3 linked regions of the Callithrix jacchus genome follow. The protein of the gene in region 2 purifies or fractionates together with the protein of the main gene of each other region. This does not show direct contact. Links are inferred from orthologs where the notes say so. Each region holds a gene or a part of one and is shown on either strand. Other genes may lie near its edges.

What was found.
Region 1: the proteins of STK26 (region 2) and SIKE1 purify together in Homo sapiens (affinity purification with mass spectrometry; 4 studies listed by BioGRID and IntAct, with this or other methods). This does not show direct contact. The link is inferred for Callithrix jacchus from reciprocal best matches to the Homo sapiens genes STK26 and SIKE1.
Region 3: the proteins of STK26 (region 2) and CTTNBP2 purify together in Homo sapiens (affinity purification with mass spectrometry; 4 studies listed by BioGRID and IntAct, with this or other methods). This does not show direct contact. The link is inferred for Callithrix jacchus from reciprocal best matches to the Homo sapiens genes STK26 and CTTNBP2.

Annotation. Positions count from the first base shown.
Region 1 is NC_133508.1:152,757,284-152,767,107, forward strand, and holds the start of SIKE1 (suppressor of IKBKE 1), read right to left. Parts: upstream 6,043-9,824; 5' UTR 5,966-6,042; coding exon 5,795-5,965; intron 5,583-5,794; coding exon 5,477-5,582; intron 4,714-5,476; coding exon 4,571-4,713; intron 3,058-4,570; coding exon 2,944-3,057; intron 994-2,943; coding exon 892-993; 3' UTR 1-891.
Region 2 is NC_133524.1:127,580,773-127,590,472, forward strand, and holds the start of STK26 (serine/threonine-protein kinase 26), read left to right. Parts: upstream 1-3,176; 5' UTR 3,177-3,282; intron 3,283-3,381; 5' UTR 3,382-3,490; coding exon 3,491-3,532; intron 3,533-9,700. UniProt on the Homo sapiens protein: Serine/threonine-protein kinase that acts as a mediator of cell growth. Modulates apoptosis. In association with STK24 negatively regulates Golgi reorientation in polarized cell migration upon RHO activation.
Region 3 is NC_133512.1:88,459,641-88,469,299, reverse strand, and holds the start of CTTNBP2 (cortactin-binding protein 2), read left to right. Parts: upstream 1-4,199; 5' UTR 4,200-4,225; coding exon 4,226-4,306; intron 4,307-4,617; exon of another isoform or gene 4,618-4,769; intron 4,770-5,238; exon of another isoform or gene 5,239-5,403; intron 5,404-5,407; exon of another isoform or gene 5,408-5,681; coding exon of another isoform or gene 5,682-5,708; intron 5,709-9,659. UniProt on the Homo sapiens protein: Regulates the dendritic spine distribution of CTTN/cortactin in hippocampal neurons, and thus controls dendritic spinogenesis and dendritic spine maintenance.

The sequences.
Region 1 (9,824 bases), on a different chromosome or scaffold from region 2:
GAGATCGTGTCACTGCACTCCAGCCTGGCAACAGAGTGAGACTCTGTCTCAAAAAAAAAAGCTAAGAAAAATTGACTCATTATATTTGGGTTTTTTGATTTTCTTGTGTTTTTGGCTGATTGTATTTAATAAAAGCTAATTTTAGTATTTGAAATAAGTGCACTTACATGTGTGCATGCACATACACAAGACAAGTTCCTCAGCTTTGAACAATGTGAACTTTGAACAATGTATGACAACTATACTATCACTGGGGAAAAATATAGCTGACTTATTTCCAAGTATGTTTCCTGGGACTAGCAGTAGGTTCTCTCAAATTAAAAGCAAAGGCACCAGGCCATAAAGTGCCAATTCTTAGCACCAGAGAGACTTAAAACTTCACAGGCGAATGACATTACAAATCAGAGAATCAACTGATTTAGTTCTGTGGAATTGTATTATTTATATCAAATGAAAAAAAAAAGATAAACCAAGGTTTATGCCAAATAAATTTAAAAAGTTAAATCTCTCCTAAAATTTCCTAGGAGTGTATTTTACAATGCTATACATAATAAAATTGCTGGCTTATAAAAAAATGCTCAAAGTTTCAGAGATGTGAAAAATAACAATGAATTGAAAACACAGTTTATATAAATCAAGGTCCCAGAAATAAAAATTAAAAGTAGTCTCTTTGAGAAAGGAATAGTGAAATTCAGCATGTATCCACATTAATACATCTGAGAACCGTTTTCATGGACAGCAATATTGACTGGAAATTCTAAATTGCCACCTGATAACTGTAATCAAGGTTAAATCAAATCTGAGGCAAGACACTTAATGAACAGTACTTGAATGGGAAGATAGTAACTTCCTTCTTTGATAGACAATCTCCAGCCATCATTCAGAGCTCAGTTATTTGATGGCTTGTGAAGTGGTGTCCATTGAGTTTTCCTTTCTGGCTTGAAGAGACTCACTGCTGATGGACAATAATTCTCGAAGTTCCTTATTTTCAAGCTGGAAAAAAAAGGCATGTTTATTTCTGGTATTTTTTACTGTCAAACTGTGTTATAAAAACACATTATTTTGGGCCAGGAGCAAAAAACATTATTTTAATTAAAAAAATTTTAAGGAAACAAAAAGTCCACGAATTGAGAATTTCCTTAAATACTACTTATTTATTCATTTAACAAACATTTACATGTAGAATGTAGGCAATGATACTCTTTTGTAGTAGTAATTTACTGAGTAATTTCTATATACCAACTGTGAGGCTTGTAAAGGAAAAACAAAAAACAAGGTCCCTCTCCACCTGAGGAATTCACTGTTATATTTTTCATGGTTCCCACAGTTTTACTATTATTTATTTTATTTAAAAAATTCCTAATAATCATTTCACTCTGATTAGTCTCCACTCCTGGATATCTTACAGTTCTAGAGAAACGGAAGAAAAGGGGCTTATTAAGCATGTAGCTGGGTACTGCATGGGTGCACTGTATATGTTATCCCACAATAACCCGTAGGGTAGGGTATCATTGCCTACATCCATATTCTACTTAAGATGAGGATACTCTGTCTTACAAAATTCCAAAAAGTTGTCAAAATTCAGACAACTTGGATGTGATACTGCTGGGGTCTGAATGTGGTCATGTTTTTTCTACATGAAGTATTAAAGTAGAACTTGTCCCACATTTCCTTAGGGCTATTTCCATAAGTGAGGAAATTGGGGACAAATAGAAGGTCATTCTATCATTTCACTGGCTCCTAATTACTACTTGGGACCTGTCACTACCTTCGATTTCTAGACAGGGTAGCTTGCACTCTTCATCCTTATTCTCTGCAGAAAATTCTGGTAAACCAAAGCATTTTTAGCTTCACCAAGATGTGTGGAAGCCGCAGATAGAGTAACTAAGAGATTAGAGCCTGTAGTCGATAAATCTACCCCATGAAGTGCTTCCTTCAGTATTTGTATCTGTCTCCTAGCACTTACACATACTATTTCATATCATATAAGTACTAGGGTTATTCCTTCCACTAGACTCTGGGTAGGTACCTGTTTTTTCTCTCTGGTATTTGTCAAAAGGCCCAGGACAGCACCTTGTAATAAGCAGCACTCAAACCAGTAACTGAAATGCTTCGCTTTTTTTTTTCTTTTAAATTTTTGAGACGGTCTCACTCTGTCGCTCAAGTTGGAGTGCAGTGGTACATGTGATTGTGGCTCACTGAAACCTCGACTTCCTGGGTTCATGTGATCCTCCCACCTCAGTCGCCAAGTACCTGGGATTACAGGAGCACACCACCACACCTGGCTAATTTTCTGTATTTTTTTTGTAAAGACAGGGTCCCGCCATGTTACCCAGGCTGCTCTTGAACTCTTGGGCTCAAGCAATTCACTTGCCTTAACCTCCCAAAATTGAAATGTTTTTCCTTAACAATTTTATGGGCACACTATACCCCAAACCCTTTTTTGTAACATATTCCTATTCTAATCAAAATATGACATAAGCATAGCTTTTAAGAAATCAAGACTACATGGCTTATACAAGCGGTTCTTTGGCTTTGCACCCCAAATGCAACCACTATTTTATCTATTTCTTTTGGTATTTAATTCATAATTCTAAATAATACATTTATACTGCTATTTCCTGATCAAAGATTTTAGTTAGGTATTACCTATTTCCCTTCTTATTATGGCAGATGAGGATTTTATCTCACATATAACTTCTCCCCTCCACTCCCACTACCTTCGCATGATATCTCAACTTCTTGCCAATACATAGTTGGTATTTCCTTTGATTGCTGTTTACTATATTTTCTTTCTTCATAGGGTATGAAGGAGGAGTTTTAATTTTAAATCATAAACACACAGAAAACATCAATATATTACAGTGATAGGACAGTGAGGGTGTATCTTCCAGACTCTGGAAACTCTGAAATACTGTGAACCCAAAATGACAACAATCTTACCTCTAATTGGGCTAATTTTTCCTGAATCTTACAAAACTGGTCATCATCCACCTGAACTGCTTTCCTCATCACTTCTCCCATTTCACAGATTCTGTCAATCTGACTCTCAATTTCCTGTGGAGATATTAAGGAAACAAAGGTGAAAAAATCATTTGTTCTATAGAAATAAAGAACGTAAGAGTGTGTGTGTTATGATTTTTAAAAGTTCATTTAATCTATGTTACAGAAGTTACAGTGGAGTTTCACTACAATTTTAGTCCTCAGATATAAAGCCATAGTCAAGTGACCTTGTGGTATTCACAGATAATTTTTTTTTTTTTGAAAAATCAATTGTAGTTTAACTACCCATTGGATGTTGGATACTATCTCTAAGTGGCTAACTTAAATTTGAATACGTTAATTGGCAGGAAGCTTATTACATTTCATCTTTGGACATATCACTTAGAAAGTTTATCTATCTGAGTAAACTCTGTCTCTTTCAAGGTTCAAGTTTTTTCCTCCATAAGAGAAAAAATAAAATCTACTTTTCTATTCCAGATGAAAGCCATTCAAATATTTATAAAATATCTGTTTCCTAAAACTTTTAAGTCAGTAAAATGCATTCAATGGAGTTTAAGACGAAGCTTATCTTTCACTGCATCTCACAGTAGCATATAGTAGGCTCCAATCTACACATCTAGATTTAAATCATACAGTACACATGAATGTACAATGACATCTACGAAGCACCTACAAGCATAAGAATAATTACTGAGTCTCTCAAATTAGATCATAAGCAAAGTATAGAAACTATGCCATGCTTGTTTTTTTGTTTTTTTTTTTAAAAAAAAGCATACTTCTCTTCCCTAACAACATGGTATAATGCTATGTAGTTCAGTTTAAAAAATGTTTACTGACCGCCTGCTGTATGTCAGGTACTATGGTAGGAATAAAATATGAATTCATGCTCCTTACAACAAAGGAGCTTAAGTGAGATGTATAAAGAATAAGCAACCAAGTGTTTACTGGGCATCTTCAACACTAACTGGCATTATGTTTGGTGGGAGAGCTAAGAATTAATGAACATCTTCAAAAGAGATCTTGGTAAGGGAGGGGGTACCTTACTCCTACTCAAATAAAAGGACCTGAGCAGCCCCATCCTCCTCCTTTCTATTCATATCTTTACAAAGCCATGGCAAAATCAACAACAAACGTGATAAACATGAAAGGAAAACAAGCTTACTTTTCTTCAAAAACAAGCACACATGGCCAGGCACAGTGGTTCATGCCTGTAACCCCAGCACTTTGGAAGGCCAACGTAGATGGATTGCTTGAGCACAGGAGTTTCAAACCAGCCTGGGCAACACAGTGAAACCTCATCTCTACCAAAAACCAAAAAACCACATACACAAAAATTAACAGGGCATGGTGGTGTACACCTGTAGTCCCAGCTACTCAGGAGGCAGAGATGAGAGGATGGCTTGAGCCCAGGAGGCAGAGGTTGCAGTGAGCTGAGATCGTGCCACTGTACCTCAGCCTGGTCGACAGAGCCAGGCCCTATCTCAAAAAACAAAACAAAAACAAGCACACAATGAACAATCTCAAGATTTCAATTCAGTTCATTTCGAATTTATTCAAAGTTTCTTACTGCAGAGTGAGACTGGTGAGCTTTCAGGACTGGTTCGGCATCCACAGCTTTTTTAGCAACCATTAACTGTAACATCTGTTTCCGGTACTTGCTCATGATGAGTTCCAAAGCATCCTGGTGTTCCTCCAAGGAAACCCAGAGCTCTATCAAAAATAAAATAACTTGGCAGTGATGTCTGAGAGAGCGCTCCCATATCCAAAGTCTTAACAGTTGGAATTTTGTAACACTATAGAGATAATATGAATCCAAAGCTGTAAATCAGGGTTTAAGTCCACAAAACTGAACAGTTAAAGTCTATGTGAAAGATAACTTTCTAGGCAGAGAAGCAGAAACAACAAAGGATATGTCATCAGAAGACACGGGTTTGAGTTCAGTTCTGTAACTTGCTTCGTTAATACTTGTAAGTAAATCATTTAGCGTCTCTGAGTGTATTTCTTAACTGCATTGTAATAAATAGCTAAAAATGAAGATAGGAGAATACAGTAGAATGATACCTGTGAAACCCCGCTGGTAAACAACTAGTAATACTACAATTATTAATAATATACTAATCAAGCCGAAGAATATATACCCTTAAAATAACATTCTGCTGCTTCCCTTGCATGAACAAGAACATAAACAAAACCTTAAACCTTACCTTTAGTGTTTATTTTCATTAATACTTATTAAACATTAAAGTTTGCAAGAATTCAACTCTACTTAGCAGCTCTTTGGTAAGCTGCTACAAAATCAGTCAGATGATCTTGAAAAGGGTAATCTAAAAACCTTTGCTGTTACCGGGCCAGCACAGGAAGACTCGCCTACTAAAAGTACTGACCTGGAAATATATGTACATTTTTGTGAACGGTTAGGGCAATTCTGCAATACCTTTCAAACTATTACCAGATATGAAAAGGCCCGACTAACCTCTGTTTTCCTGCTGCAAGTCTCTAATCTGTGTGTTCTCTTGGGACAGCAGAATGTGAGGTTTGTATTTGGACATGTCCTTCATATCGGATGCATCCTCTTGATACTGGACAAACAGAGACAGACTAAGTAGAGAACAGCGGCAGATGCAACTGAAGAGGCAGAAATCAGCGCTCCGGGGCAGGTTTCTCAGCCCCGACCCAGGAAAAATGTCTCACCGCCGCCCTCTGAGACGCGGAATCAATTCCAGGCCGAGTTCCCACTTTACCTCGCTCTCCACCCTTCAGTGCCCAGAATCCGAGAGCACTGGACTCCTACCCTCTGCCTGACCTGATCCGGAAGCGCCGTCCCCGCCTCCCGCATAGAGGCTACCCGCCGGTGCAACGCCGCCGACTGATCCACCAGTGACTCAGCGGCCGCATCGTGCTCCCGCAGCCTCTCCAGCAGCGTCTTGGCATCTGTCAGGATCTTCTCGATGGTGCAGCTCATAGCAGCGGCACGACCCCACTGGACCTGCCGGGCTCAGCTACGCGACTTGCTGAGATCTGGGAGTCTGTCTCAGCATTACAAGCGTCACTTCCGGGCACGTTTAAAAGGTGTCTTGCGCCTGCGCAATAGCAGTCCCGTTTGCGGGTTTACCCGCTGGAACCTGTGGCTTCTTTGCAGTCCTGCCCAGCGCGGAGCCCCAGACCTGCCCTTGCCACGCCCTTGGTTTCCAATTCCCACAGCCTGCTGGTCAGGCCATGATTAACTGGGCAGTAGGAAGTTCTCCTTTCCCTACTGGTTTTCATCGATGTGGGTTGTTACTCATAGTTTTTATTTTCATTTAATTTTTAATTTAAAATTTTTGTTTTTTGAGACGGAATTTTGCTGTTGTTGCCCAGGCTGGAGTGCAGTGGCGTGATCTCGGCTCACTGAAACCCTTGCTTCCCGGGTTCAAGCGATCCCCCTGCATTAGCCTCCCAAGAACCTGGGACTACAGGCATGTGCCATCACATGCGGCTAATTTTTGTTATTTTTAGTAGAGACAGGGTTTCACCATGTTGGCCAGGCTGGTATGGAACTCCTGGCCTCAAGTGATCTGTCTGCCTCGGCCTCCGAAAGTGCTGGGAATATAGGCGTGAATCACCGCACCTGACCTATTTTCATTTAATTTTTTAAAAATCGTGGTAAAATACACATAAAATTTAATATCTCAGCCTTTTTTTTTTTTGAGATGGAGTTTCACTCTTGTTACCCAGGCTGGAGTGCAATGGCGCGATCTCGGCTCACCGCAACCTCCGCCTCCTGGGTTCAGGCAATTCTCCTGCCTCGGCCTCCTGAGTAGCTGGGATTACAGGCACGCGCCACCATGCCCAGCTAATTTTTTGTATTTTTAGTAGAGATGGGGTTTCACCATGTTGACCAGGATGGTCTCGATCTCTTGACGTCGTGATCCACCCGCCTCGGCCTCCCAAAGTGCTGGGATTACAGGTGTGAGCCACCGCGCCCGGCTATCTGAGCCATTTTTAAGCATACAGTTCAGTAGTATTAATAGCAGTACATTCACACTGTTATACAGCCACCATCAGCATCCATCTCTAGAACTCTTTCATCTTGCAAAACTGAAGTTCTGCATTATTAAACAGTAGCTCCTCATTCTTTCTTCTCCCCATCCCCTGGCAGCCACCATGCTACTTTCCTGAATACCTGACATGAGTGAAATCATACAGCATTTGTATTTATGTAACTGCCTTATTTCACTTAGCATTATGTCCACAAGTTTTATCCATATAGTAGCACATATTATATTTTCCTTCCTTTTTAAGGCTGAATAATACTCCATTGTATTGTATATTCTGCATTTTGTTTATCCATTCATCCAGTGGGTTGCTTCCATCTTTTGCTATTGTAAATAATGCTGCTATTGCAACTGGCTCACATCTGGCTGCTTGCTGTTTAGAGGCCAAAAACATGAGAAGCGAGGTGCGGTGAAACGAAAGCAGTTTTACTGATCACATGCTCGCAGATGGGGCGTGGTTAGGCTCATGCCTTCAAAACAGCATTCCGTTTTTTTTTTTTTTTTTTTTTTTTTTTGTCAAGGTATCCCAGAGACAGTATCAATTTCCAAACTTTTATTTCGTCCCATATCAATGCCAGGGTGATGTGCTACCTGCCCTGAGTCCATCATGTCCCTCCTATGATTAACAGACTTATAGTCAATTAAATGTTCTAGGCCAGATGTGGAGGAAGGTGGGCAGGCACTCTTTAACCTTAAACCCCCACTTAAGGATTGTTAAGAGCCAAAAACCAAAAGCCAAAAGGCAAGGTCACAAAATTGTCTTATCTATAAATTCCGTGCATTGAGCTGCTGTAATCTTGGCTTGTCACAATTACCCGTACAAACCGCAAGCATTTTGTTGAGCTGTGTTGGTATCTGTGTGCCATCCTTGTTTTGTAGGGGCTGAACTAATTTGAGCCTTCAGTATTGGCCCTTACAATATTATGTTTTAGTCTTTTGGCCTGGAGGGATTGAATAGTTTCAAAGTCTGTAGGTAAAACAAAACAGAAAGAAGTAACATTTCGAACACAAAGGTCATAAACCCTGCCTACTTTTGAGAATGACAGGAAAGGAAGTTCATAGGTAGCTAAACATTTAAATGATTTAGTATCAAGGCACTGAATAAATTATACTAATTCAGATAGAGGCAAAATTGTTAAATGAATTGTAATGTTTTTGAACACAAGACTGTCCCTGGGCCTCATGAAAGCAGTTTACTTTGTCACCTTTGCAGTTTAGTGTCAGATACTGACAGGAGTTGGTGCCTTCTTTGGATGAGATATGTGTAAAGCCCTGTAGCTCAAAAGCACAAGGATTAGTTAATATCACCTCATAAGAACCTTTTCAAAGAGCTGGGATTACAGGCACGTGCCACCACGCCTGGCTAATTTTGTATTTTTAGTAGAGACCAGGTTTCTCCACGTTGGCCAGGCTGATCTCGAACTCCTGACATCAGGTGATCCACCTCCTCAGCCTCCCAAAGTGCTGGGATTACAGATGTGAGCCACCACAACTGGCCAAAAATTATTTTCTTTAAGAATGTTGACAACCCCGACTCTCTTCTGGCTTGTAGGGTTTCTGCAGATACCCTCTGTTAGTGTGATGGGCTTTCTTTTGTAGGTAACCTGACTTCTCTCTCTGGCTGCCCTTAACATTTTTTCCTTTATTTCAACCTTGGATAATCTGACAATTATGTGTCTTGGGGTTGCTCTTCTCAAGCAGTATCTTAGTGGTGTTCTCTGCATTTCCTGAATTAGCACGTTGGCCTGTCTTGCTAGGTTGGGGAAGTTCTCCTGGATAATATTCTGAAGTGTGTTTTCCAACTTGGTTTTATTCTCCTCATCACTTTCAGGTACACCAATCAATTGTAGGTTTGGTCTTTTCACATAGTCCCATATTTCTTGTAGGCTTTGTTTGCTTCCCCTCCCCTCCCCTCCCCTCCCCTCCCCTCCCCTCCCCTCCCCCCCTTCCCTTCCCTCCCCTTCTTCCCTTCCCTTCCCTTCTTCCCTTCCCTCCCTTCTTTCCCCTTTCCTTTCCTTTCCTTTCCTTTCCTTTCCTTTCCTTTCCTTTCCTTTCCTTTCCTTTCCTTTCCTTTCCTTTCCTTTCCTTTCCTTTCCTTTCCGTTCCTTTCCTTTCCTTTCTTCTTTCCTGTCCTTTCTTCTTTTTCTTTCTCTCTCTTTCTTTCCCTCTCTCCCTCCTTCCCTCCTTCCCTCTCTCCCTCCTTCCCTCCTTCCCTCCCTCCCTTCCTTCCTTCATTTTTTTCCTTTCTTTCTTTCTTTTTTTTTTTGTGTGTGAGACGGAGTTTCACTCTTGTTGCCCAGGCTGGAGTGCAGTGGTGCGATCTCGGCTCACAAACTCCACCTCCCAGGTTCAAACAATTCTTCTGCCTCAGCCTCCTGAGTAGCTGGAATTACAGGCATGTGCCACCACACCCGGCTAATTTTGTATTTTTCGTAGAGATGAGGTTTCTCCATATTTGTCAGAATGGTCTCGAACTCCCAACCTCAGGTGATCTGCTCTCCTCAGCCTCCCAGTGAGCTGGATTACAGGTGTGAGCCACCACACCCAGCTGTTCATTCCTTTTCATTCTTTTTTCTCTAATGTTGTCTTCAAGCCTTATTTCAGTAAGTTGATCTTTAATCCCTGATATCCTTTCTTCTGCTTGATTGATTCAGCTCCTGATACTTGTGTGTGCTTCTCAAAGTTCCCATGCTGTGTTTTTCAGCTCCATCAGGTCATTTATGTTCTTCTCTAAACTGGTTATTCTAGTTAGCAGTTTCTGTAACCTTTTATCAAGGTTCTGAGCTT
Region 2 (9,700 bases):
GAGCAAGACTCTGTCTCAAAAAAAAAAAAAAAAAAAAAAAAAAAAAAAAAAAAAGAAAGAAAGAAAGAAAGAAAAGAAACTTTGTTTCATTAAACTATAGAAATACATTGTAATGGATTGTCAGATTCTGGGCTGACTTTTCTTTTGGAAACGGAGTCTCACTCTATGGCCCAGGCCATACAGTTGTGTGATCTCAGCTCACTGCAACTTCTGCCTCCCAAGTTCAAGCAATTCTCCTGTCTCAGCCTCCAGAGTAGCTAGGACTACAGGCACACACCACCACGTCCAGCTAATTTTTGTATTTTTAGTAGAGATGGGGTTTTGTCATGTTGGCCAGGTTGTTCTCGAACTCCTGACCTCAGGTGATCCACCCACCTTGGCCTCCCAAAGTGCTGGGAAAACAGACATGAGCCACCAGGCCCAGCCTGGACTGATGTTTTGAAGTAAAATATTCAAGTTTCCTTTGTGTGTGTGTGTGTGTGTGTGTGTGTGTGTGTGTGTGTGTGTAACAAAAGCATACTTCAATTTATTGTCATTTTATTGAAATAAGAATTTGAGAAATAATGCCGTTCAAAGTGGAAAAAAAGTCCTAATGCTCATAAAATTTGAAATGTTTTCAAATTTTGACACCTTCACAAGATTTTGTTTATAGACATACACACAGGAAAAATCATTTAAAAGCCCACAAAGAATCCCATTTAAAAACTCAACTGATCTCTATCAATTATAACAACAACTGATACTTTATTTAATAGCAGTAAACCAGAATAAAGGCTAAAAAACTCACTAAGATCTCAAAAGCAATGTCTTTCAGGAAATGTCTTCCTAGTCCAGGTCTCAGCACTAAGCTTTCATTCTTCCACATAGTTACGTAACTGTGGCCCAGAATGATATCAGAGAAAGTCATTTCTCTGACAAGCCTAATTTACTTATCTATCAAAATTATACAACTTGCTCATAAGTAGTTGTGAAGTTAAAGTAGCCGGAAAGAATTTTGGAGACTAAATAATGAAAGATGTAACACACAATAAGGTGAACAATTTAAATATTCAGTAAGAGCAATGCCTAAGGGTTTAACCTGACATCGATAAAACATATAGTGTGCATATTACACACCTAGTAACCTCAGTGAAGAATTCAATAGAATTTTATTCATTCATTCAAGAATTACTTATTGAGGGCCTACTATTTGCGATGCACCTAGTCTCTGGGGATACAGCAATGAACAAAACATAAAAAAAGCTTGCCCTCAGAGTCCTGCCATTCTACCTGAATAATTCTCATGTAAGAGAAGCTGGATTTCTGGCCTCAAGGACCTAATATGGGCAGAAAAAGCAAATGAAATATATGAAATATGAAGAAAGGACTACAGCGTGAGCGCTGCTCACATTGGAGGGATTTAAGGGAGGGCTTGGAGCAACTAGGAAGAGTCAATGGAGGTGAGACTTGAGACAGGTTTTAAATGATGAAGTTTGATTCAGATCCTTGCAACTCAAAAGTGTGATGTAGGCATCATGACCATGTGAGAGCTTGTTAGCATTGCAGAATCTTGGGCCCACTCCAGACTTGCAAGATCAAAATCTGTGCTTTTGAGGGATCAAAAGAACCCTCGGATTTCTAGGGTTCTTAGAAGTTTAGGTGGCGCTGCAGGTTTCTGGTCAGGCTGGCAATGCTGTGAGCTGGGTTGGTGGGAAATCAAGACTAGATTGGAGCCTACCATTAGGTTAGAAATAGTGAAAGGCTGGACTGGGGGAACTAGGAGTGAGGAAAATGCAGTTGTACCCTTTATCATTAAAAACAAAGAGGAACCACAGAGAAAGTAGTAAATTTATCACCAGGCAGAGGCACCTGCGTCTGAATTCCCAGCTGCACCACTTCTTGTGTGACATTTGGGTCAAATTATTTAACCTGGTTGAGCCTTTTTCTTCATCTGTAAAGTAGGGGGAAATCAATAAGACCGCAGAAGGCCCTTGTAAAGGTTCAGTAAGGTATTAATAACACACAGAAAGCACTTAGCAGTCTCTGGCACAAAGAAGATGACATCCATTAATGATAACGATATTGATAAGAATCATATATTATTCTCTGAAAAAGATGTAAAAGGAAGAAGAGAAACTACTATTTACCACTAGAGGCCCCCCACCGTGTGGTGGTTAGAGACCCAAAACAAACTTCAAAGTAAAGAACTTCATTTTAAACTGGCATTCGACTATTACGTTTTTAAAAAGTAATTAACCCCTTATGTGTTCCCAAAGGTGCCTTCATAATGAAATTCCTGTTGCTATTATTACCAGTGTTACTGTCGCTGTTAGAGTACTCTCAAAAGAGCCTGTCTCCCTCCCGCAGTGGAACTTAAAATGCGGCGGAGGCAGGGAGTTACCAAAATCGCTGCTGTGTATGCCGAATTCAACAACCTGTACTGCTGACGATCCAATCTCATTTCCCAAGCCTCTACTATCCTCATTAACTTTTCTGCTGATATAACATCTGCTTTCCATTTTCCCTCTGCCTTTACACGTGCAGAACTTGTGGTAGAGAGAAGCCCCAGTTTGGCCGTCCTGCAAGTGATAGCCAAAGAGGTAGGGGGAACCTTAGGTTAGAAGTCATCTGAACCATGTCTGGGGTCGGGGAACTCGTAAAGCTTGAGTGTGGCTACTGGTCTGCCCAGAGGAGCAGCCCCCAGCTGAGGAGGCCAGATGGCGGGAAAAAGCGGGGGCCGCCGACTCCGCGGCTGTGATCCCGCCCTAGGCCAGGCCGGGGAGCCAAGAAAGACTTCCAACACTCCCAAGTTTCAACTCAAGTCGTCTCCGAGGGTGCGTGTGCCCCAGCCTCGCACGCCCGCCTGCAACAAGGTCGCATCTAGGACGCCCTCATACCCTCAGGGTTTCCCAAACTCTTCCATTCTCTTCCCAGGCCCAGCCGTGTTCCAGGTCTCCCGTTCGCCGGGTTCTCCTCACCCCATGCCGGGAGAGTCTCCAGCTTCTCAGACTCCAGCAACCCCAGCCAAACCCCTTCGCTGCCTGGAGCCTTGGCTCCCGCGACACCGCCCGGCTGCGGGGCGGGGGCAGGGCCAACGGCGGAACCGCCCCCAGCCGCCTCCCGGGCCAGGCAAGCAGGCGGGTGGCTGGGACGCCTCCACCTCCTCTTCCTAAAGCGGCGAGGCGCAGAGGAGCGGCATCACTCGAGCCCAGGTCCCAGCCACCACCACTCACAGCGCTCGGCGTTCAGGAAGAGGAGCAGCAGCGGAGGCGGCTGCTTCAGTGGCGGGCGGGCGCCAGAAAGGTAGACTGAGTCCCAGGGAGCCCCGCCGCGAACAACCCACCTCCCAGCCCGGGCTACGCGCCTCCAGCCCAGTAACCCCACTTCTGTGTGTCCTTCCAGGCCCCTAACGACAAGCCTGGGAGGGCCGCCGAACTACCCCTGGAGGAGGAGCCAGTCCGAACTCAAGGCGCTACCGCCGCAGAAGCGGAGCGAGGCTACAGTCGCCTCCATGGCCCACTCACCAGTGGCTGTCCAAGTGCCTGGGATGCAGGTGAGGAAGCGCAGGCCGCCCCCCGCCGCCCACGTGACTGCTTGGGAGCCCGGAGCGCTCTCGGTGCTGGGCACCGACGACAAGGGACGGCCCCGGGACTCCCCTGAGGGCTGGGCCGGTCACTCTGGCCAGGTGACCTGGGAGTAGGGCTTGAGGTGTTTCCTGGTGTGTAGGCTAGGTGGTGCTCTTCGCTGGGAAGGCGAGGCGGGACTGGAGCGCGCAACTAGGTGGGGATTGAGGGCGGCTGTGGGGTATAAAAATAGGCCAGAGCCACAGACACCTGCGCCTGTGGAGCTTGGCACGGTTGGGGATGGGAGGGGGGGAGAACTTAACCTGCGAGACATGAAAGTGCCTTGGAAGTTGTGGGGTAAAACGCGAGTAGTGAGTGCCCTACAACCCCCACCCCAAACACGCACTCAAGCTGGGGCGGGGCAAGACCAGGGGTGTCGGCGGCAGCTTGAATTGGGCTCTTCCTGTGTGCGTAGGGCTGAGAGAGAGAGGTGACCTCTTTCTCCCTTTCGGTACTGCTGCTTAAGGGCAAAGTTGTATCTGGCTCCCCGACCTGGCCCAGCCCATAGCGTGGAGCGAGAAATGTTGGTCCTGTTCAGAGTCGCTGAAGTGATGAGTTCCCAGCCCCCCTCCGTGCCTTTCCCACGAGATGACTTACATGTGGTTAAAGTAAGCATATTGTCCTGGACAAGGGACTACTGCATGGGACCCAACTTCTTACTCAAAGTCTACCCAGCCCAACCCCCTCCCATTATATTTTCATTTTATTAAAGGTAAGCCATGTTGGAAAACTTCTCATGCTGTTATGTTTTTAAATCGGTGCACTTTAGGCTATCTGCTAAATGTTATCCAAATCTACCAACTTTTTAAAGTATTCACTTTTTTTCCCTTTGCTAGATAGCCCAAACAACCCATTTATGAATAGTTTAGAGGCTAAAAACAAGAAAGCCTCAGTCTCTCATGATCTAAAAATGTGAAAACAAACTTTTTTCAAGTTCAGAAATAAAATGTTTAGAGTAGCAAATAGCTTATATTTACTGTAGACTTGGGCCTCAATTTACTTATTAGCAGTGTTCTCATTTTATGCATGCCCACAAAAGTGATTTTAAAATTATTTCCCAGAAAGGGATCATTTGTGCACCTAGAACTCCTGGTGTGTCCTAAACATCAGACATTTCAGCTGCATTTAGGGCAAGTCTGGGTTGAGTCTCAGGAAGTTAGTGTATATTAAAGAGAGAGAAAGGGAAATAGGAAATAGTAGGGCTTAAGAAAAAAAAAAGATTAATCCATTCAAGCCTTGCAAAATGTCTCAGACTTTCTTCCTCTCAGGCGGCCTCCCCTCTCTTCCCCCCCCTTTTCCCCACACACCCTGTCCCACACCCCATTCATTCAGTTCTGCCTTTGATTGTATCAAGGGAATTCATAGTTTGCAATACTAAGTACAGTTTTGCCGTCGGATCTGGGAAAAAGTGACATTTTCCCACCGTGCTCTTCTTTCCGTTCTATGGAGAGTGGAACGATGCACACGTGAAGTTTGTCTCTGAGGGTCTCCATGCTTCTCGCTCCATTGTGTGCGTGAGCCTGCGTGTGTGCGTCAGCAGAGTGAGTGCCTCCCGTTCTCAAGTTTGTGATTCTGGGGAACTCTGTGTGCTAAGGAGAAAATAGTTTCCGATCTTTACTTTATTTGTCTTGACCTTATTGAATTTATATGGTTTAGGAACTGCTTACTGTTCAGTATTTCTAAGTGCTGTTCCCTGCTTTGTTTAAAGATCTGAGTTGCCTATCTCTTGAATATTTACATCTTAATTAATGTGGATTCGAATGTGAATCACATACTTTAAATTACAAACTCTGCCTTTCACTGCTGTCTGAATTCTGATTACTTTGTCCCATCTAATCTGAGTAGGGCAAACATCTCAATGTTAGCAGAGAAGAGAGGAATTATTATTATTTTTATTTTTTGGTCATTCTCTTCATCTTAATGAAATGGTAAATTCTTCTTATTTCCATTTTCTTTCTAAATGTACTTCTTAAGCACTTTGTGCAACACATAGTTTTTTCCATAGTTGAAATTGTACAATACCCTAATAATAAATGTGAGAGCACGCAGTGTGACTCTTGAACCTAGACTATTTCTGTTATTGTTATATAGCAAAATATTGCGGATGAGATGCAGAAATTCGTTGCAAGCTTGTAAAATGCTCCTAGAGTTTTATGAAAGCCTTAGGAGCAACTTTTAGATTTTTAGAAAACTTGAGTTAGCCATGTGTTCTTGAAATTACTGTATGGTGTTTCCACAAATCAGGGTGAGGTGACCGGCCAGCCTATAACTTTTTAACAGTTTATTTTAGAGAATTATGAAGATTGATGGGAAAAACGATTTTTCCAGAAATAAAAACAAAATTATCCACAATTTTTTTCTCCCTCTGAGGAGAGACGTGAAGCTACCTGTTCTATCACTTAAGACTTCCAGCATTCCTGACTTTCAAACAAAGAAATTTCTGTTGCCACTAGTTTAAAATAGAAAAGAAACTTGGAGTGAAGAAAGAAAACCCAGGATTTGGTCCAGTTCAAACTCTTCCTTATGAATTAGGTATTCAAACTCATATTGTTGATATTTCTTAATATTGTGGTAATGAACATTTTTGCCATATTACACCAAATGTTGAGGGTACTTATTTTGTGCTTGCTTCTTTAGTGTGTAACTAAAGGAATTTTCCATACCAGTAGCTGAACCCTTGAAAATATTGAAAGTACAACTTAAAAAAAAATAAGCCAATAAACCTTTTCTTTCAACTTAAATATGTACTCTTTCATGATTTGAAGAGTTTTGAACCTGTTTTCTTTGAAGTTTTCAGTTATAAATTATACTTAGTTTTAAGATATTTCCCCTTAGAACCTACAATAGTATTTTTGAGGACAAATTTTCATTTAGAATATTGTTAATAAATCTTTCATAAGATGTAGGTGGAAGAATAAAGTTAAATGTTGAATTAGAGTATTGAATGTTATGCTTTATGCTATGTCTCTTGTTAAAGAAGTTTTAAAGCTTCTGCTAAAGAACTTTAAAATTAGCCTTCACATATCTTTAAATATGAGCAAGGTGGTATAGTTTAAATATAGTTGTTATTTGAGATGAGAAGTAGAAATGGAGTTTAGGGATTAATGAACAGTATTGAAGACTTTTACCGAAGTGGTGGAAAACATTGCCCAGCATTGGTGAATATAGTAACTGGATTCTGGGAAGCATACTGAAGTGTATTACATGTTTTACACTTAAATATCTTAAAATCTTGTTGAGTTGTTAAAGCTAGCATATGAAATATCAAATAATGCAAAATCTGTGAACTCATTGTAAGTATAATAGAAGTGTCTGACTGGAAGAATTGAAGGCTTCCAGAAAGTAAGTCTTGTTAGGATGCAGTCTGGGCAGGGCATTTCCAAGCAAGGAAAAATCCCAAGCAAAGGTTGACAGACTAGGAGTTTTCGAGTTTACGGTGGTAGTCACACAACCATTCTGTTTTTCACTTTCCATACAGTATTCGGTAGATGACATGAGATAGTCATCACTTTGTTATAAACAGGCTTTGTGTTAGATGATGTTGCTTAACTGTAGGCTACTGTAAATGTTGTGAACGCATTTAAAGTAGGCTAAGCCATGATGTTCGGTAGGTTGGGTGTACTGTATTAAATGCCTTTTCAACTGACAATAGTTTCAATTTATGATAGGTTTATGGGGACATAACCACATTTTAAGTCAAGGAGTGTATGTATACAATATGGATAAGGAAGGGTATGCTGCATTTGTGAGCGCGCGTGCACACACACACATACACACACACACACAATCTTTGAGAACAGGATAAAGTCATTTGGGCTGTCATAGAGAATTCCTCTAGAAAAATAATATGAGATAACATCGGAAAAACTGGATTTAGTACAGATCATGGCTGTCCTTAAATGTCAGGGAAGGATTTTGGCCTTTGAACTAGCCATTAAACATTTCTGAGTAAGGGAAACTCAATGTACCAAGTTACATATAGGAAGAGAAATCTCAAAATTGGATGAATGAATCCAACTGGAGGATTGAGAGAGGAGGGGTAGTTTAATCCACAGAAGCTATTTCTTATTTTCTAATTTTTTTTTTTTTTGAGATAGGGTCTCACTCTGTCACCCAGGTTGTAGTGCAGTGGCGCGATTATGGCTGACTGCAGCCGCAACCTCCTGGGTTCTAGCAGTCCACCCATCTCAGCCTCCAGAGTAGCTGGAACTACAGGTGCACGCCACCATGCTGGGGTAATTTTTATGTTTTTTTGTAGAGACAATATTTTACAGTTGCCCAGGCTGGGCTCCAACTCTTGGACTCAGTGATCTGTCCACATTGGCCTCGCAAAGTGCTGGAATGACAGGAGTGAGCTACTGCGCCTGGCTACAGAGGCTATTTCAATGGGACAATCATAGTTATACAGGCACAATGGGCCTTCCACGGGCAGGTTCCCTTCCATATGTTTAATACTATGAAGAAAAAAATTAATTACCAGGCTTAATAATTAGCTAGTTTCAGAAGGAAAAGTTAAAGACTTTGTGGTGTTGAATATGGGGGAACTGGGAGAATTAGGATCCATCTGAAAGAGATTGGAATGTAATGGAGAAGTGCCAGATCTGGTAGGAAGTTAATGATTTCTGTTCTAGACTTGTGAATTTTGTGGTAACAATGGGATGACAAAGTAAACATGTCCAACACGTAGTTGAAGATGGAGCTTTGGTTATTCATCAGATATTTACTGAGCATCTACTCTATGCTAGGTACTTCACTTGAAAATGAAGGACTAGAGACACCACGGAGGGAGACGTTCATAATGCCAGAAAGAATATGTGGAAGTGAGGGCCCTCATGAGACAGGACACATAGGTCGTAAGAAGAGGAAGGATGGCTTTAAGATGTATGGGAGGATGAGAAAATGTGCCAAGTTAGAGAGAGAGTTAACTGGGTTGGGGTGGGGGAATTCTTTATTTAAAGTCATCTGGAAACCTACATTGGAGAAAAAATTCAGGTTTGTACCAGAGTCCAGGATATGGAGTTATTACCTCCCTTACACCTCCATAAGAGGATAATCAGATTTGCAATTTGAGGTGGAAAGCATTGCTTTGCGTTGATGAACCCAAATTATTGTCCTTGTTGTTGAGTATTGATGCAGAGATGTTGAATATGCTAATGCTAATGGCAGAAGACCAGCTAGAGCAAAATAATCAAAGACTGTTAGCTGAGAGAAGGCGGGAGTAGTTAGAACTTTTGACACCAGGGGAGTAGGGACTGTAGGGAGAATAAACAGGCATTGGGTATGGTAGGACATGTGCCTTCAACAGTAATGAGAGCTTAGAAATGGCACTTGAGTACAAAGGTCCATCATCATGTAACTTCCCTTGCTTGAGTCACAGAAAATGAGAGAATATAATTTAGCTGGTACTTAGGAACCATTGAACATTGTGATACTGTATTTTTTATTCTGCTTTACATTTATTCAGTGACCTTGAGCAAATCATCTACAAAATGGGGAATAATAAAAGCTGCATTTCCTTTGCCTCAATGAGAGGTTATTAGGATGAATTAACTATCATCTGTGGAGTTGGCGCTCCTTTGTAAAAGGTGTTATGATGTGTGCGGCAGTTCATCCTGCAAAACAATGCTTGGCTAATCATATGAAAACACTGTCATTATCTCATCTCTCCCCGGCTTGATAACCCACATTTTTCTTTTGAAACCCAATCACCACCTCGCACCACCCTCCATGAGACCCAAATCCTCTGCTCAGCTTTCCATGCTTTCTGTTATATGTCTCCTCTCTGTAGATCTCGACTTAGTTCCCACTACTTCCCAACAAGAAATCCCTTTAATTCTACCATGCCAGTCACAGTTCAGTAATCAATGATTGGCCAAATTCTACCTGATTTTCATGGTCCTCCATCTTACCTTCTTAGTGAACTTTGTCTCAATGTCTCAGGCTATAGAAATCTCTTCCATTTCCAAGCATCTAATATGTCTATTGTCAGTAGTAGACAGTTTAGTCCATGATGACTATACTGCCTTAGATTTTCTCTAATTATATATACTTGTCTCCCAAACAAGGTTGCATATTTCTTGAAGACAGGGACCATGAAT
Region 3 (9,659 bases), on a different chromosome or scaffold from region 2:
CACTAAATTTACTTTTGTGTTGAACAATACCTATCCCCAAGTGAAAGAAAAACTCAGCTATGGTTTTACAGCTGGCTCCACACTTCTAATCAGAGGAGGAAAGGGTCTGATCTCACAACCTATTTATGTAGTTTTTAAACTTTCTAAGAAAAATGAAGCTCCACTATAATTAATGCCTAATGGTATAAACACTCCTGCTTTAATATGGTTGCCTAGTAACTATATACTGCAGGCTTGTGAAGTTGCTAAAGAGGCTGAATAAACAGAAATATTCAGGTCCATTTCCAATTCAAGTGGTTAAGGGAAAGAGCAGGCCAGATTTTTTGTTGTTAAAAATTGGTTTTCCATAATAGTTTTGCACTAAAACATCTTTTTGTACTAAAACTGACTCTTGCAAATGACTTTTGCAGATAAGAGTCCAAACCAACAAGTAATGATTTAAAATGTAAAAAACATTCAAGAGAATGGAACCAACACTATCTCATTGTTCAGTATTAGCCGGTTTCTGTTCTTAGAGTGACTGCACTGGGGGATGATTTTCTTAATGTGGCTCTAACCTTGCAGTAAAATGTTATATTTGGATATTCCTTCAGCAATTGAGTGAAGAGATACAGTTCCCAGTTAAAGGTGGTATTAAAAGGGGCTGGGAGTGATTATGTTAATTATGTATGTTTCCCTTTGGCTTGCTTCCTACACGGCAGATTTTATTTCCTAATTATGTTTTGCTTTAGCTTAGGTAAAATTAGCCTGCATTCCTTTGGCACTCACCAACTGCAGTTGGTGGAGGAGGCCTTCCAAAAAACCATAGATTGTTGACAAGAGTGGCTAACTAGATTAGAATTAAATTTACGGAGTAAAATCCACAAAAAGCCTAAGGCACATATAGATAAGTTGACTATAAGGGAATGTAGTTAGGTCACAGGAAGATCGTTTCTGGCAATGGACACTCAGCTCCTCTGTACTCTTTGTCATGGAGTTCCTGATGTCAAGATTTGGGGCTTCCTAGGTTGGTCACCGTGCTGCAGACAGGGATAAGCATGGTTTGCAGTATTTAAATTGTGTAACTGTAGGCTCACAGATACAGTCAGAAATGATTTGCTACTCCGTAATTTTGTCATTTGGCAATACTGACATGTTGACATACAGTTTGCTCTTTGGAATTAACATAAATGTTGTCATTTTACCAAAATAAAGAATTCTCTTACTCCATGATGGAAACAGTTTTAGGCTATGTGTATATTCCTTTATCTTTTCACATTGAAGGAAGCATCCTGTTGTATCATTATGTATAACTCTGGGTTTTTGGTTTAGTGGGTTGGAGGATGTGGCTGATGAGGCCAAGGACATGGTTTAATCAGAAAACCACTTGGCTCCCAAACATTTATCTACATTCCTACTTTCAAGAACTAATTTCCCTGGTCATTTCACCCTTAGAGAGTGTGCTATAGCTCAGCACAAATACCTCTATTCCAGGGTTTGGAAAATAATTAGCCTCAAATTATTTAGTCAGTGGGTCATCAGCATCATTATTACATTCCAAAAAAAGAATGTAAATTATAGTTTTCTCTATTTGCAATATAGTCAATATTACTCCTTCCATTTTAATGCTGAAAGGAATTTACTGATTAAGAATCACGATTCATTTTTGTTGAAGGGATTTATTTTCCTCCTGTTTATACTTCTATCTCACTCCTTTTTTACCCTGCCTTTCAGTAACTTTCACTGTAGCCCTGGGATGTCTTCTTAAATTATTATTATTAATTATCATTATTATTTAGCTGTTTAATGAGGCCTCAAAAGATTTAATTTCTGGAACCATCCAGTCACTACCCTTTCAGATCTATTTGCTTTGACTGTAATAGAGCCTGCCTTTGTGCAAAGAAAGTCTCAGAAAGAGTTAATTTGCAATAGTAACAGAGGCTTATTCTCAAGAGAGAATTCAAACCAGCAAGTGTCTTCCTGGTGGAGAAGCAGCCCCAGGCCAGGCTACTGGTGAGGAAGTTAACTCTTAGTGTGCCACTTCTGTGCAGTCGGTGAGATCCTCAGCCAATCTTCAACAGTGCCAGTTTTAAGGTAGAAACGGAATGCTGTCAATTCTCCTTCCAAGGTCCTGGATTTTGGTGGTCAGAGAATGTGGCGTCCTGTGATTTTTGTCTGTTTTCTTTCCATTTCACAAAAACAAACAAAAAATGATGGGGGTGGGGGTGGGGAACAGGGACTGATTTCCATGTGGCATGATCCTGCTTTAATTGTATTTAGGTGAATACAAGCTATCTTTACCTAATGACTTTTTCTTAATTGGGCTGCATGTATAAAAGGGATTTGCTTTCCAGAGATAGTGTCATTTCATATTTCTAGCTCTTAACCCTGAGTAAAATTTATTATCTTATTCTTTTTTTTCCAGTTAATTGCTTGGGGAGTATTCAACATCAGAATCAAGAAAATTGATTGTCTTGCAATGTGTGAAAATGCATTTTGAAAAGAACAAAGAATGCTCTTGGACTTTAAATTTTTACTATCAACTTGACATCTTTTACTGTCCAATGCTTTTTTTTCATCTTAAAGGAATCTAGTAATTCTAATATTGAGCAGTTTTAGAGAGTATACTTAATAAAGAAAAGTGGTATAATGAACAGGGATGGATATTAAAGGGATAAGAGAGGAAGTAACTAGCAGAGCCAATAAAAATAAATAAATAAATAAATAAATACCTCTACTCACAGGATAACCTGGAGAGGATTTCTAATCTTCCGACCTTTAGCCCCAGAGTTCTAGGTAAAGTTCTTTCTTCACCTCTCTTCTGGAAGAGAACTTTTCACAATTTATTACTCAATCCCTTTCATGGTCTTTGTAGAAAAGGTTTTCTCTGCCCGGGTTTGTGTCATATTTAGATCCAATTTGGAAAGTGGAGCAATTAAATTCTCAAAATCTTTCATTAAGACCTGCCATTAAAAAAAAAAAAAAAAAAAAAAAAAAAAAAAAGCTTTGATCTGTAACTCTTGGACTGAACATTCCAGTCATTCATCTTCCAGAATTTCAAGTGCAGGATTTGGTTGTGGTTTGATTTTACTTTTTTGAGACAAAGCTTGAATGTCTCAATTTGATTTTATGCATTCGACACATTTTTAGGGATCTGGTGATTTGGGAAGGGCTGTACCATATGGTCTTGGTAAGGTGATAGATTTTCACATTCTGGAAATTGGCAGCAAAGGGTAGGAAATGAGTTAGATGTGGGAAGGGAAGTCTGAGTGTTTGGGCCTAATTCACTCACCTCATGAAAAGTCTTCTGAGTTGGGTAATTCCCATAAAATCTAAGTTTACAAAGATGGTTTTTGATTGTTTTTTGTGTATACGTACACGTATCCTCACACGTAGGGAATAATTTTTTTAAACTCTCAAAAGTAGAGGGCATAACATTTAGCTTTTAAAGCTATGACATTTAACACTTCTTGGTTAGTCCTTCAGAAGAGACCTCAGACTTGAGGGGTCAAAGAACATAAGACAGCCAGATACAAGTTCCCTGAAAAGGAGATTACAGAGTTAGGTGCTGAGGGGCCAGTGCCATGCACTAAAAGAAAACAGAACAGACACATCGTTTTCATCTGAGGACTGTTTTTGGAGAAGGACTAGAGTCAAGATAGAGTAAGTAAATCAGAGCCAGGTGTATATACACATACATTGGGAGGGTAAAAACACCCTGGCGGCGGTGAAATTTAAGAAAGCAATTTAAGAAGAAAGGGGTGCCTTGTGTGATTCCTCGGGGCGGGATAGAGGGAGCTGAAGTGTAGGATTTTCCCTGATCTTTCAGAGAATTCAGTTTCAGGAGGCCTGACATTTAATCCGGTCTGTGCAAGGATTTCTCGGGCTTGGTGGGGGTTCTGCGGCACGCTTTCTCCCTTCACCTCTTCCCTGGTCTTTGATCCCTAGCCAGTGCGCAGAACCGCAGCGGAGTCAGGTCGTGCGCCCATTTCTCGCACCTCCACAAGCCCGCGGCTGGCCCAGCAGGGCGCGGGGCGGGACCGAGGCGGGGCGCTCCGGCGCACAGAGGGTTAAGCGGCGAGGGCGGCGGCGAGGGGCGGAGAGAGCTCGGCGACTCTCGGCTCCCTGCGCCCGGCTCCCGGAGCCCGCGTCCCGGACAGCAGCGGGTTAAGCGCCGCCCGCGCGGAGAGGGCTGAGTCCGGAGCCGCGGCTCCGAGCTCGCATTCGGATCCGCTAGAGCAGGAAGATGGCGACTGACGGCGCGAGCTGCGAGCCCGACTTGTCCCGGGCTCCAGAGGACGCGGCGGGGGCAGCGGCGGAGGCGGCGGTAACCGAGTTCCCGGGGCGGGTGTGGGGCGAGTGTAGACGCGGGCAGGGGGCGGCGCCGGGGCCCCAGCTGGACCGGGCTCCGCACCGCCGGGGCGTTCTGTAAGCCCGGGACCCTCGGGTGCCCCTTCCTCGGGGTGCCCGCAAGGCGATGCCGGTGGGAGCGGAGCGGCCACCCGGGCTGGGGCTCCGTTCTGCCCCTTCCGCGCCCCTGGGGAGCGACCCCAGGTCGCCTGGTTCTCCCAGCCTCCTGCGTGCGTCCCACTCGACCCCTTCGCCCACTCCCTCCGCTGCGGTGGATTCTGGCGGGGGGCGAAGGCTGGGACGGGTTTCCTGGCGAATTTGACCCCCCATTGTTCACCTCTCGCTGCGCGCATGGTTGCGAGCGCGTGTCTCGCGGGTGCCTGGTACCTCTCAGCGGACCTGGGAGAGCTTCGAGGGGGAGGCGGGCCATCGCCCAGCAGGTGTGGGGATGCCCATTGTGTGCATCTGTTCCGGTGCCTTCGGGAGGCCCTTTGGGAGAGACCCCGTGTCCAGCTGTTGGCGCTGCTGCCGCTGAGGCCAGCGCTTTAGGTCCTAGCAGCCTGCTACCCCATCACTTGGTGGTGGTGATTGGAGTGGGGTGAAGGGGTTGGTTCTTCCCGAGGCAATGCCCGGGCGAGGTGGAGGTTCTGCACCTGGTTTCAAGACATTGTTCTCCTTCTTTGGGGTCTAGAAGGCCAATGCGCTACCATTTATAACTGGTCCTCACTTTCACCCCCTGAATATCTCCGGGCAGATACTCACTGGTGGTTTCCAGCCTCTACCTTGGGGGAGGGCTGGACCCACATTTCCCTGGTGGAAAACGTTCTCAGTGTTTGGGAAGCAGCCTCGCAGGAGCTGCAAGGATCTGCAGAGAAAGGCAGATCTGTGAGCGCCTCCCACTCTTGGCCCGATCTAGCTGCTCTTGCCGGAGGATCGGGGTGGGTTGGAGCGAGCGGGGCGTAGACGCCCCCTCCCTTCCTCTCAAGACCTGAGCAGAGTCCGTGCAAAAGCGGGAGAGGGCAGGGCCAGGCATAAACAACCAGGGCCGCTTTAACTTCCTCCCACCCTCTGGAGGTAGGGCTTTCTGGAGAGGGAAGAGAGATGTGGAGGAAGGTACTTGGGGTGAGAGGAACTGAGCCTGGGAGTGGAGGGAGAAACAGGGGGAGGAGGACTGCTGATTTCCACTTGTAAAACTGGCAAGTTTTGATTTGAACTTTTCGGAAAACGAACTTTTGTGAAATCAGAGCTTTAAGATTTCCAACGAAACCTGGCCACTTAACGTGAATCAGCTCCCCTCTGTGGGGCACAGTAAGGAAACTAGCTATTAAGACAAGGCTCTCGGGGAAGTGGAAATGATTTGGTGCCTTCATCCCCAAAAGGTGGGAAGGAGAAGAAAGAGGAAAAAGAGGGTGCGAGGTGTGTGTGTGTTTGTAGGGGTGCCTGTGTAGGGGTGTGTGTGCAGGTGTGATGTGTGCGCGCGCAGGGGTTCGTGCAGGGGTGTGTGGGTGTGTGTAGGGGTGTGTTTCTTGTTCCCCAGGTTTAATTTGTTTACTTAATCTACTTAGAATGGGTTTCTTTCTATTACCCTCTATTTTAATCACCTGACAATTAACCCAAACACAAACATCTGATTGATGGTCTGTAGAGCTGATATATAGTTTTGTTTAGTTAGATCATAAACAAAACTTTGGTCGCCAGGAAGATTTCTGTGTTAACAAGGTCAGTGTTCCCTCTCTGCCGTTTAAAATTTTCAAGTCTGATTTTCACTGCTGATATTTGGGGATTTGATAATTTCACCCTTGTTAATGGGCAGAGCCATGGAAAATCTTCGAAAGTGAACCTTCTTTGCTATTTCCGTAGAATCCTTTAGGGTTGCCAGATGCAATAAGGATTCTTCATCTAGTAGTTAAAAAGAAATAAACTTCTGACATTTTAGTAAAATTTCGATGATGTCTTCTTATGTAGTAAATTGGGCATTTTATTTTACTTCTCCAGTTTTGACTTAATAAGGCATGGTTCTCTCATATCAGCCACTTGACTTGTAGATTAATTTTGAAATGAAAGGAAAGCTAGTGTAGAGGAGTGATATGTGTCATCACAGTTGCTCCTTAAAAATCAAAGGCGTTTTAATGCACGTTGGGTTCTTGTTGACTGAGAACTTAATTTTTATTTTAGTGAACAATTCACTTTGCATTTTGGAGATTTATTTAATTTCAAATCAGTTTACATATTGTACATTTTTATGTATACATTTGGCAGTAAGGAGCCAATGGAAGCTCTGAAGCAGTAGGCTATTTTTGAAAGTCAGTGTTTTCACTAAGCTTTGACTATTTAGATTGTTGCTTAGAAACAAGCTTAATTTATAGTTTTCAGTTTAATATCATTTTTAGTGGAATGTTTTAAATTTAGTTTGTGATCCTCATTCTTAGCTGTTTAAATCCTAAAAGCATACCAAGTTTAAAGCTGGGTAACAGTTACATTATTTAGTAGGACTGTATTAATAGTCTTTGCCATGAACCATGCCGGGAAACCTGGGTTATTTTCAGTGCCTTAGCCAAATGTGATGACTTTTATAGGCCATATTGCTGTTTCTACTCTGAAAATAACTCCTAATGGATAAGGCAGTATGGAAAACAGAAATCTTCATACTTTTTATTGTCACCAAATAATTTGGGAGTGAAAGGAAAATGGAGATCTTTTTAGAGTTATATTTGGAAAGCCAACCAACATTCTTGCCATTCTGGGCTTTTCTGGAGCAGCTAATATGCAAGAAGTAGGTATAAAATTTGTTGTCATGGTGACAGTGACAAAGAAAAACTTGGACAGTGATTTAAAATGCACAACAGTGATGTTAAACAAATTAACAGCTGGCACCTTGAAATTTTTGTTTTCCAGGTGACAGGGTTGAATGTAAATGCACAGAAGATAACTTTTATAGCCAATTTCACTATGTTTTTTTAAAAAACTAAATTATAGATATATGGCAGCTATAGGATGTTGAAAGTTTTGCAGCTTAATGTTTTAAATAGGAAATAACGTAGATTTAACTAACACGTTACTGAGCATTTACAGAGATGCAGGCATCATAAGTATCATCTTTGCTGCCCTGAAGTAATACATCCCAGTGATAGAAACTGACATACACCAAGGAATCAAATCAGAGATGATGGTGTTATGAGAGGCACACATGATTTTGCATTAGAAGTTTGGAGTGCAACTTCAGAGAGGATCCCCAGTGGATGGATCTAGAAACTTCCAGAGAAGGATGGCATTTGAGGTAGACCTTGAGATTTAAGGATGATTTGGACTGGCACTGCAGGAGTGTGCAAATGTGGCCATATCCTTGGGAGACATATGTGAAGGGCTTTCAGCGATGAGCATGGAGGTTTCCATTTTTTTCTTAGCTATGTGGTTCAGAAAAAGAGCTTGGAAGTTGAAACTGACTGGAATATTTTTCCAAAGACGAGAATATAACTGTTTTCAGTGTCCTGCTTTTCTCTTTTTTTTCTTCTTAAATAATAGGCCGTACATTTCTGTTTGCCCCAGTTTTTGGACTTCATTATTATTGTTGCTGTCATTGTTACTGTATTTCTCATAGGAGCAGTTTTGTTTAGAGAACATTTGTCTTCTCAGTGATTGAACCCATGCCTCAGTTAGATTGCCAGTTGGTTCTATCCTGGTGTGTTTCACATAACTTTATGAGGTGAGAAAATGTTTCACAGACTTGGTACTTAGATTTGCAAATAGCTGCTGTTGATCATGTGCACAGCAAGGCTGTGGCTGGGAGAGAGTGGTGTGACGTTTGTAAAAGAAAGCAAAGGTGCTAGCACAATGCCAGGCACATGGTAAGTGTTCCCCAAGTATTTACTAAATGAAGAAAATAAAAGGAAGCTCACCAAGAAGTTGTGTCATAAAACTTAATGATGATTGGCTAATTAGAAAATTTACTGTGTGTTACCAGCTAGCTTATAATGAAACTATTGGCCTGTGACTTGTAATAATTAACATTATAGATATCACAGATGTTGATCCAAAAAGATGACCCTAATTCTTAGTTTTAAAATTTTTCATCTTAATACTGCCCGTTTCCAAGCTGCTTTTCTCAGTAACTTCTTAGATTCTTCATAGGGGTTTTTTAAAAAGTTTAATTTCCAACACTATTAGTTTTCTCTTTAGATTCTCTATTTTCAAAATGATGATTGAGGCCGCACCCCTGCCATCCTGCATCCTTCCAATAATAGAGTCAAGGCCACATCACCCACTGGGATGTGGAAGAGAGGATGATTAATAGGGGGTTAAGAGAAACATGGAGAAGTTTGGAAACAGGAAAAGGGAATAAAAGGAAAGATTGGGCAGGAAAAAGGAGATTAGGCAAGACTTTAGAATAGTCTGCAATTGCACAGAAATGTGGAACTGGAGTAGTAGCCCCAACTCCGTTTACTTTGCCACCCAAGCCCATCTGAGTATTGCGTTAGAAGGAGACTTTATTTGAACACGTTCCATTACATTATTCTCTCTTGGTGCTCCTTTGCAAAGCTTTTATAACATGAAAAGAGATTTGTCTTGTTTCTTGGTAGTTAGGTAAAGAATCAGAGAACAGGTACGAGAGAGGATGATGATAACACTGATAGTGAAAGATTTTTAAAATTTTAATGTTTTAAATAACTTACATAAATAATGAGATCATATTATTAATGCTGTGTATGGCATGATGCCTTCCATACAGAAATCCTGATTTTAGAGGGGGGAGATACTCTCTTTAAATAAATTATTAGTAACCAACTAATAGGTTGGGGATCCATTTAATAGGTCATAGAAATGTAGTGTAGGCTAGGTAACATTGCTATGTGGAGTGGCTACTTGTTTGCAAAGATTTGGTTTTGACATATTATATTTCATTGAAAAGACAAGATGGTTCCAAAGGACTGCCTCTTCATTTGGCCCAGCGTCTCATTTGAAAGTCAGCATGCAGACATTTGCCACCAACAGATAATCAAGACGATATTCTTTAATGCATTATAAGCTTCTTAAAGGTTGGTTATTACATCTGAATGTCTGCTTGCCTGTGGAGCTGATCCATGTCCCGTGTTGGGCTGATGTAACATTGGAAAGCTGAATTAGGGTCAAAATAGACGCTTGTTTTATTTGAGATGTTGTCCTTTTTTTCCTAAGGAGGAAACAGAGACTGTGGTGAGATCTGAAAGGAGGGAAAGGGAAGTAGTTGGGCCTAATTATTAGAGGCTGTCACCCCTGACTGAGCCACTTTTCTGCCATTCTTTTCAGCTCTCTCTTAGTTAAAATTAGTTACACTCATTACCAGGTTTCCTTCC